2 linked regions of the Oryzias latipes genome follow. Each later gene encodes a partner of the first gene's protein in a complex. Links are inferred from orthologs where the notes say so. Each region holds a gene or a part of one and is shown on either strand. Other genes may lie near its edges.

Region 1 (4,866 bases):
ATCCATTAAGGTGCAAAAAGTATCCAAGAGAACAAATGAAGAGTCAATCATATGTCTTGGAAGTAATTTAAAGTCAAGACCGACACTCAAATGTCCTATAAAATATGTCACACAAGAAGAATCAAAATTAATGATGTTTGTCTGCAGTAAAATGCATTTGTCAAAAAATAAATGAATCAAGTAGTCCAGCGGTCTCAAAAGCTTTAGGATGTACCTTGTGCTGTTCATTAATAGGAGTTAGTCCAGCTGTCATGAACAGAGTTCAACAAAATATTTTAAGAATTAAATGCTAAAAGGTTTTAATTTAATCTCACATTTCACTCATTTTTAGAGTTACCCTACCATTTTTTCACATTTCCGTTTAGTTCAGGCACTTTTTTATTTTAAATTGAGGAGGAGTTTCCAACCATATAAATCTGTTGGGATGCAACCTTTTTGTGTAGAATTTAACTCAGTTATGCTTCGCAATTTCCAAGCTCATAAATGTATTTAATGTTCCATAAAATCGATCTCACTGTAGAAAACCTTTAGTTTGATATGGATATCTGTGCTCACAAATGCCCATATTCAAACATCAATTTGAATTGAATTGGACCACATTAACATGATTGCACTGGATCATTGAATGGTATTATTTTTAAGTTCATAAATCACTACACATAATGATGAACATGATGACAGACACACGCACACACATGCACACACACACACATTGCCTGTCAATGTGCTTGGGAAGTCAGAACATCCCAGAATTCTCAGTTCAAGTTCAAGATCATGCAGCAAATCTAAGCAGCTGTCATTTTTCTTTGTACTTTTAAAGCTTATGCAGACCTGATGCAAAGGAAGTGATACAACACTGAAAAGTACTTACAACAAAATTATAATAAAAGGATTTTACAAATATTTTTCAAACCAAAAAATGTATATATTTTTTAAATCTGGGCAGGAAAAAGCCTTTTTAAGCCTCAAAGATGTGTGTTTGTGTTTAAGTACTTGCATGCTTGTACACATGGTTGGTGTGAAACACCTCAGGGGATGTTGTTGCCTGGGAGCCACCGTGTTTCTGAACGTGAAATAACTCTAAACAGGCACACACCTATCCTCTCACCATCACCCCACAAACCTCAGGGGCGCACAGAGAGTGCTTTCTCATGTCTTCATGGTGTTAATCCAGAGTAGGGGTTTGTTGCCTCTACTTTAGTTGTGGCCGAACGTGTGTGTGTGCGTGTGTGTGAGAGAGTTTATGTTTTTTTATTCACAAACTGACGGATGGAATCATAAATAACTTTTTTTCTCTGTTCCCTGATTACATTTTTTTGATATTTTAATGCATAGGTTGTATTTATTTCACTGTCCCTCTAGATGGATTCCAATTTCTCACCCAACGCAATAATTGATATTTTTCCCCCTCTTGTGTAACGGCACGTAAAGCCCAGGAGAAGAATTTCAAAAAGACCAGGTTGTCTCACCTTCAACACTTCAGCAACAGCTTGCATTCTGAGCCTGGGGATAGGTTTCTGTTTCTTTATTTGTACAATTCTGCAGATGCTTCAGGCGTGTTGGATCCAAATGTAGTCATCAACTTTACAGGTGACAAATATATAACGTAAACCTGAAAAAGGTGTACTAGAACCTATGTGTTAGACCAGAGGGGTTCAATCCAGGTTCCATCCATCTTCATCTGGCTCTTGAAGACAGGGAGTGAACACTGCTATAATGAACTGATACAATGAAAATCCTGTAGTTTCTTCTAAAGCGGCAATAAATAAAAAAAGAAAAAGTTTTAAACAATCCCCAGCTTTACCTTTTATGCGTAGAAAAAAGCAAAAACACGTCACAGGTAAAAAAACGCAAAGTGTTTTACAAATAAAAGCAGGAAAAAAGGGGATATATGCTTTAGATATGTATATATTTAAAAAAATCGTTTATAAAATATAGTGAAATCCATCCATCCATCTTTACCCGCTACATCACTTTTGGGGGTCATGGAGTTGCTGGAGCCTAAATAGTAAAACACTTATTTTTATTTAATTTTTGTTTATTCCTAATGATTTCTTGATTGTGGCCTTACTCCATTTTGTCTTCCCATATGTTGTTATTTTTTTAATAGCTTTTGCATGTAAGGATATGTTTATATGTTTATTTATGTTTTGTAATTAGTAGAATACGTTATTGGCAGCGGGCCGCCCCCTTGAGTCCTGGTCATGCGGCCTGTAGGGCCGGTGGCTGGGATGTAATCCTCCTGTCACCCTCAGGGCATTTCTTGTGTTCCCCAGCCTCATATCTAAACCCGATTAAGCTCTCATCAACCCACACGTGTGCACAAATTCCACATTACTCACACTTAAATAATATTCAGCTTGTTACTGCAAGCCATTGCTGTAAGGTAAGTTGTTTGTGAATTGTGCAGCCATTTTTCTAAAAGCTAGATTCATTTTTGTTTTGATTTTATGTTGCGTGAGGTTAGTTCTCGCTGGACTATTGGCCTGATCTCTTAGTTGTACCTATTTTTTCTGGTGGCTACCCCTAAACAAATGTTGGTTTTCTCTTTGTCTCTCCTTTAATCAAGCACAATGATTCTTTTGAAATGCCTTATTGCTTATTTTCTCGACCCCACTGAAACGTTCACACAGAACCTCTGCTTCTCCGCTCAGCAACTGAGAGCTAACATCAGAGAGATGGAGCAGCTGTGTGGCCGGGTCCGTGCGGAGGATGCCGCGGCTCTGGACGTGCTCGTCAGGCCGGTCAGGGACAGAGCTTCAGCTGCCGCGAGAGACTTTCTGCTTTTGCACTCTGACTCTTCACCAACGCTCACTACGCGGCAGCCTGGATGTGCATCCAGCAACTGCCACAGCGTTAATGACGAGGGCGACAAAGCAGAGTCGGGAAGGCAAAGTCAGCTCCACCTTCCAGAAATCCCTGCAGATCAGAATGCAGCGGAATCCTGGGATAACCTTGAAGGGGTATGCATGGCTGGATTCTGAACTTTTTGCTTCATGTGCAGTCTTGCTAGTTGGGTAGTGGCACTCATTACTTAAAACCCAACTCACTTTAAAGAAGGTTAGATGTCAGGATGTAACATTGCTCATGTAAAAGCCCTTCTATTTCAACTCCCTGCTTCTCCTTAGGGGGGAATAAAAAGGAATCGCCGTGTGAAGTAGGAAAGATTAGCTTTAACTGAGAGGTTTTATTATGTGAGATCACCCAGAGCAACAGGATTTTTTTCTCTTAAAACAAACAAAAACATTATAAAGTATTAGATTCTGTGTTAGAAAAGTTACTCTGGAAAACCTCATCTTAGAAAGCTAAAAGATCCTTGTTTCAAAAAAATTTGTTTTATTTTCTGTCTTGCAATAAAAATAATTTTAGTTTGAGAAAAGCATGCCTTTGTGACTAGAAATGTCTTCTTAAAATAAGAATTCCTGACACATTGGCAGGTTTGTTTTGCTTATTTAAAGAAAATCTACCACTAGGGTAAGAATTTTAGACTGTTAGACTAGATCAGGATTTTAGACTAGAGTTTTCAGATGCAGGATAACGTGAGTTCCTGGGTTTTATTTGCTCATTTTACATAACTTCTCCTTCTTGTTTTTTTTTTAAATCCAAGCATGGCATCAATAAAAACATCTTTAATGAATTTAGGCACAGTTTGAATTTCATGAACTGTTTAGAGACTGACCATTTCAAACTGAAACAAGTTCAATTCTTTTCTTCCTTTGCTACTTAATCTTCTCTGTGACCTGTATGTGTTTTAACATGGATAAACAGAACAGTCATGGGTCAAAGCCCTCTCTTTCTGTCTTGTAAGAAGATATTATTATTAATTATGAATTAATTGCCCTTTTGCCCCTCCCCTCAGGACTTGAAGGAGCTGAGCAGCTTGGTGACCGAATTCTCTCTGCTCGTCCATGTAAGTACAGTCAGTCACTGAGAATTCCTTTTTGCCTCTGTCCCATTCTAACAGTGCGTGCTCTTCTGTATGCACATGTCTGCCCGGTGAACAAACACAGAGGCTGCTCGGCAACACTGTCTCCATGAAGTAGTGTGCGTTTGTGGTGGAGTTGCTTAAGGTTCCTTTGAGACGAGGTGGGACGGATCCGCTTAGGAGAACTGCTGGGGCCCGAGGGGCCCTCGACTAGGACGAGGGGAGAGAGGGAGGAGGAAGTGAGAGGGAGGAGGGACCGGATTTGGAAGAAGACAGCAGGTTGTCACAGGAGGGGGAGGCCAGGGAACCGAGGGATGCAACCGGCAGGTGGAGAACAGACGGTTCAGATTATGACTCTGTCCTCAGGGATGAAAGGAGGAAAGCAGGGAGTGAGGGAGAGTAGCAGTGAAGGAGAGAGTGAAGATGTTTGTTTGTGCAGAGGAGGCTGCAGAAAGAGCATAGACATGTTATAGCGTCTCAAGGGGGAAAGACGCCGTTAGGGACCAATACAACCACAGTGGAAACACTGAGTGAGTGGTTGTGTTTTTGTTTGTTTCTGTTTATGCGTCATGTTTGTTCCCTCTCTTTGTATTTTTTACTTTGGAGTCTTCCGACTAAAATAAAGCACTCTTGAATATACGGTTCTTACTCAAAAAGTGAGAGTTTTTGCTCCTTTTTTGCTCTGAATAAAAGGAGATGAAATTAAGGGAAGAGGTATTTTCCAAATAAATCTAAGAATGCTGTTCTCTTTCTAAGCTCTTTTAAAAGCAGAGATGCCATGTGTTTCCTAGAATAACCACTGCCAGACTGCAAAAACAGCCCCCCTTTGAAAGAAGTCAAAAAATCTTCAAATTTGAAGAATTGGGGAAAAAAAATTCCAATTTGGAAAATTTTAGGGGAAAAAACTGCCAGTGGGGTAAGAAGAATGGTCTTACCAAGTA
Region 2 (5,542 bases), on another chromosome or scaffold:
CTCAAGATAAACATGTGCACTCTTCGGTCACTCACTCAGTGTTATCAGTTTGTGGGATCACTTTGCTTATAAAGATAGTGACAGACGTGTCATTACTCCTACTCGACTTTAAAATGTTTCAACTTAAGAGCCTTTTAAATGAATCCTGTTTGTCTTTAAAATGACTTTAATTTAACATTATATTTGACATTAATTTATTATCAAGAGCAACTTTCAGCTTTAGGAATTCTACTTTTATAAAAGGTTATAACAACATAACCCAAGTTATTTTCTGTAGACAAACGTCTGAAGCTTTAACACCTTTTAACAGTTTTGAATTGTCTGTTTTACAGAATTTGGAGCTGGTCAAAGTTGATGACATGTCAGACATTATCATCAGACAAGGCCGCTAAGGAGAAAACCAGGAGATTTTTTTAAATTCTGTCCTCTTCTTTCTTTGAATTTATGCTTTTTCTATTTAAAATGTCAGGTTTTATTCACTTTGTGCTTAAGTTTTAAATCTGCCCTTTTTTCCCTCATAATGACAAGACGACCTTTTTTTTAACTCTGTACTATTTCATGATTATCTGTTGTGTAGATAAAAGAACTTTTCAACCACTGCTCAAAAGATATATATTGTCAAAAGAAATAAAATGTTTTTTTTTCCCATAAATGTGGTTGAGTTTGTGACTTAAATTTGGGCAGAACGTGTGAAATCCTGGCACATTAAACCTGTTTATAGTGTGAGTTTGCAACTTTGCTGTCGCCTTCCCGTAGAGGTTAAGCCGGTTTGTCTGGGTCTGTGCTTCCATCTGGGTGAGACGACATGACGTCCTTTCATTAAGGAGATACAGAACAAGAAAGAGCAGAGGACTAATCACATTCCAGTCCTTGGCGTAGAAGTTTTTAATCTTGCACACAGGAACTTTGATATAAACAGTGTTTTTACTTTAGGTTTCCTAATTTAATCCTAATATAATGGTAGAAATGTGCTTTTGTCCGATTATCACTAAATTGTGTAATGTGTCTCAAAATGTTTATAGTAATGCAATTAATATATAACACATAAGTAATTAGTTTTGTTTGTTTTGTTAAATATACTGTTTAAAAGTGGTTTTCCCATCATACCTCTCTTCAGACTTTCTGTTTAAAAACACAAAAGATTACTTCAAAGGATTCAAGGAGTATTTATTGCCAGTGAGCAGGGCATTTTCACAGAATTGGAATTTGCTGCGGTGCTAATGTGCGACATAAAACACTTGAATAACAAAAATAAATACCAGAGCAAAAAAAAAAAAAAAGATCTGAAAGGGGTGAGTTAAGAGTTAACATTCATGACTCCTATCTCAGATCCAACATGTGATGGAAACACCCTCAGATGGGAATTGAGTAGGAAGGCTGGAGCCACACAAAACCCAACATTAAGGGAACAATAGAGTCATGCCTTCAAAATAAAAGCATGTCCTGTCTTTATAATGAAATATTATCAGAAGCTGAAAAGTCAAATGGCACAAGCCAGATACGATCTGCAGTAAATACTTAACACATGTGGATGTGTTTTTATTATTATTATTGCTATTGGTCTTGATATTTTAATAATTATTGAAATGAGGTGGAGGGGAAATAGTGAGATACCTCTATTTTTTGATTTTTATCAGATTTTTATCGGTCCTTTTTTTACTCTAATAAACTAGCAAAATATTTGGAATCGTCATTCTAAAAAAAATAGCAATAGAAATGTCACTGTTGCACTTTTTCTTTCTTAATTGTAGGTTCTACGTCGCAAATTCAAAGTCGCAGAGCGGAAGCAGCGGTTGTGTTGCGGCGCACCGACGTCTTGAAGCGGAGGAATTCTATGACCGGAACAAAAAATAGGACCAGGAAGTTGAAGTGTCGAGCGCGTCCCCGTCACGATAGAGCAACAAACTAAAGTTTTAACAAAGTATTTTTAAAAGGTTTTAGCTTATAGGTCCGCTTCGGGAAACGTGTTTTCATTGATTATCGATCAGGGGACATCATTTCCAGCGACATGGACCATGATCCGGTAGGTACTGAGAGACCTGTTTTGAGACCCAAGTAAGAAAGTAAGTTGTTGTTTGGAGTCATGCAACAACAGGTGAAGCTAGCTTCAAAAAATGGATTATTTAACCTGGGTTGATAACAATAAACTCTTACTTTTGGTTTTGTATTTATTTTTGATAACGTTTTTTTTTTGTTGCCCGGAAAAAGCTATTACCTTTTACTGTTTTGAGAGATTAAGTAAAGTTTTCACTAAAGACGAGCAGCTAAGGTTTCTCAAGTTACTTTGGGAACTTTTCAGAGCTGCGAGGTTTCTATGACTTGTAAAAGTTTGTTTTGTTAGCTTCGTGAACGTCAGTTAAGTTAGCTAACGTCAGTCTGTTTTAATTAAGTTAACGCCAATACTCGCTGAAGCATTAGATTATCCCGAGTGGTTTGAACGTGAAACGAGGCTCCGAGCTTTCCCTGTTCTTGTGTGTATATGTATTAATTCGTTGTTGTAATTTTTTTTCTTCAATCAAGTTTAAGTGTCTCAATATTTCAATATTCACGAAGAAACATTTAGTTTCAGCCACGTTCACTAATATGATTTAACAGAGCCCAGTGTGCGCATGCGCGTTCGTCATTGTCTTTATCACATTTGTCATGCCAGAAAAATCCTCATATATGTCAGCATGGGGGTATAAATCTTAAATTACACTCTCGGTTTGTTATCCTTTCCCATTTAAATAAAGTTTAAATATTTAGGATTATATTCTGCCATGATATAAAATCACGAAAAGCCCATTTGCATGTTTTGTTTTAGTTTATTACTACACATTTGCGTATAACGACACTCTTCGTGTATGCAGTAACCGCATAACATGATCTTATCTTTGTGTCAGTTGTCAGGTTTTCCCTTGGAGAACAAAGCTACTTTAAATTCCCGACACGGCGTGGACGTGTGTCCTCAGCTGTTTGCTTTCTCTAAATAATGTTATTTGATAGCTCTCAGCCATTCAGTGAGGCTCGCTGAGGTCTTGGTAGTGGGGAATTGAGAAGAAAAAAGGGAAATGGGTTCACCTGAGAGGCAGGTAAAACTAAACATGATTACCTCACACATGACTAAAATCAAAGGAGTAAGATGGAAACTCTCTTTAAAAGACCGAAGATGTGTTCAAAAGCAAATGTAGAAAGTGAGAATGTGAGTCGGAGCTAACAGGAAGGATTAGAGGGAAAGGAGGGATTTGAATCAGGAAGCAGAGAGCGAATGATGCAGGTAAACCTGCTGTATCCTAGAGACGGCTTTGTTTTCAGGCCGACTGGCTCGTGGGACGTGGAAGTCCCTGCTCTGTGTTGACAGAGGGCACACTTTTTATTCTTTCTGCTGGCAAAATCACACCTAGAATTGTGCGAAGTAATATTCTGTATTCACTGTCCCAACTTGTTCTAGACATGTTAACAAAAGCATTTGTCTAAAGCAAGAAAACTTGGAACATTTGAGTAAAAATGCAGCTGATTTAAACAATTCTTACTGTGATTTTTGCAGTTTCTTGATAGTTTGGAAATGTATATCCAGCTATATTCTGTTTTTGGTGGTGCAAATAGCTAAATAACAGCCATCCTTTGCACTATAGTTGTTTTATATTGAATTATTGTTTTTTACTGGGCTTAGTTTTTGATTTTGTTCTTGTAGCACCTCTACAAAAACATCGGCAAGAAGCAAAAAATGAAAACAAATGTGTACTGCATGGATACTTCTTAAGACAGAAGCACGAAAACAAACAGGTGGCCGAAAGCAAAGCATTTCAAATACGTCTTTTAGCCAATTCATCATTCCTAACTGAGCTTTCACTAAACTAGATGATAAAAAGGATATACGTACAACTGAAAAAGAAAGTAGCATTTCTGGTTTTTATGCGACACTTTAGTTTAGTGAGACTTTCTTGCCTGCTGACCATTTACATGCTTTACATTTTGACTTTTTTTGACTTTCTAATAATAAATAAAGGGCAGCCAATCAGCGTAAAACATCGACTTTTCTGTCTTTGCTTTGAGCGTGCTGTCCAACACCACCAATATGTAAGCATTGATGTATTGTTGATAGATAAAAAAAACAAAATGGCCTTTTGCACGAGGTGCATAGATTGCTGGATTGTTACAAGATATCAAAATCTTTCTTATTTTTGTTGAGAAGATGAAGCTAAGTGTGACTATTGTGTTATAGTTGAAGTATTCTTTTTAACTGTATTTATTTTGACTTTAAAATAAACCAGAAAAAATGCTCATTACTATTAAGGTTGGAGTTGCTCTGTGAAGGTGCTGCAGCCGCTCCACAGCCTGACTGCCTCCATGCCGCTCATGCAGACAGAGCCTCTGCTTCATGTCTGGAAACGTCCTGCATTTCCATGTTCACAATTCTTTTCTTTAGTCTTTGGTGTTGCAATGTCATGTGTAGTTTAGTTTTATTTCAAACCTATTGTAAAAGCTTCTGACTATAACTGTATTCGGTCAAAATGTTCTCTATTTGACAGAACATCAAACATGTTGGAAAAGGAGATGGGCAGAACCTGAAGCTTATTTAAGGCTGCTACTGATTCAACTATGACAACAAAAATACAAAATCCACAGAATATATCAATATTATCAGTATCATTCTCTGTCTGAAGATTTAGCAATCAGCGTGTCATTATCACATCATAAAATATACCCAGGATTTCATTATAATTATCATAGGGTTCAAAAATCAACCCAAAAGTGACCATAATAGACCCTAATATCATTTGAGTTAATGTTAAGATTGAACATAATTTCTTTGGATTTATTTTTAAATCAACAAATGTTTGGACGCTGTTTTGTGACGTGTAATCAGACACGACCATCGACACTCAATTCTTAAACAGTTTTCCCCGAAATTCTGACTAAATTAAGGTTCAGTTACAATTTTTCTGCTACATGTCTGTATTTGTTTCATTGTGTTCCTTGTGATTTTTGCATACATGTGCAATCCTCACGCTGCAAAAAACAGGCGCCCTAGAAATAGGTCAAAAATTCTTAACATAAAGAAAAATCTTTAGATGAACAAAATATCTGTCAACGGGGTAAGAAAAATTATCTTACCAAGAACTTTTATTAAAAAGTATTTTAGTAAAGAAATTCTGGTCACTAAGACATATTTTCTTAAATTAAGATTATGTTGCTTTGAAAAAAACTTTCCAAAAAGATTAATTTTCTTGCAAGACAGAAATAGATCATATCCTATATTTATTGGTAACCATAGCAACCTGATTATTGGCGAAGTGCAGCTAACTGTGGTCTTCTCCTGGTACGGCAGGAGCGAGGAGATCTGGCGGAGCCTCCAAAGGACAAAGTTGCTCAACTAAAGGATCAGGTGGATGGGGTGAAAAACATCATGACGGAAAACGTGGACCGGATCCTGGCCCGAGGAGAGAGGCTGGACGAACTCATGGACAAGACGGAGGACTTGCAAATGGGGGTCAGTGCTGCGGGGGGATTTGGTGGAGGAGCTGCTGTGCTCCGGCAGGCGTTTCTTCGTAAAAACACA

What was found.
Region 2: the proteins of stx17 (region 1) and vesicle-associated membrane protein 8-like are in contact, whole or in part, in a crystal structure (PDB 7BV6), measured with the Homo sapiens proteins. The link is inferred for Oryzias latipes from reciprocal best matches to the Homo sapiens genes STX17 and VAMP8. Residues at the interface, in NP_060389.2 of Homo sapiens: Ser171, Trp172, Thr174, Leu175, Asp178, Leu179, Glu181, Leu182, Leu185, Val186, Phe189, Leu192, Val193, Gln196, Glu198, Lys199, Ile200, Ser202, Ile203, His206, Val207, Ser209, Ala210, Asn213, Val214, Glu216, Gly217, Thr218, Asn220, Leu221; in NP_003752.2 of Homo sapiens: Gly9, Val13, Leu16, Gln17, Val20, Glu21, Val23, Lys24, Met27, Thr28, Asn30, Val31, Ile34, Leu35, Arg37, Gly38, Leu41, Glu42, Leu44, Arg45, Thr48, Glu49, Leu51, Glu52, Ser55, Glu56, Phe58, Lys59, Ser62, Gln63.

The regions. Positions count from the first base shown.
Region 1 is NC_019874.2:17,627,056-17,631,921, forward strand, and holds part of stx17 (syntaxin-17), read left to right. Parts: intron 1-2,654; coding exon 2,655-2,963; intron 2,964-3,859; coding exon 3,860-3,910; intron 3,911-4,866. UniProt on the Homo sapiens protein: SNAREs, soluble N-ethylmaleimide-sensitive factor-attachment protein receptors, are essential proteins for fusion of cellular membranes.
Region 2 is NC_019867.2:25,806,614-25,812,155, reverse strand, and holds the start of vesicle-associated membrane protein 8-like, read left to right. Parts: upstream 1-1,830; 5' UTR 1,831-2,008; coding exon 2,009-2,023; intron 2,024-5,311; coding exon 5,312-5,473; intron 5,474-5,542. Other genes in the region: ncaph (condensin complex subunit 2), read left to right, coding at 333-392. UniProt on the Homo sapiens protein: SNAREs, soluble N-ethylmaleimide-sensitive factor-attachment protein receptors, are essential proteins for fusion of cellular membranes.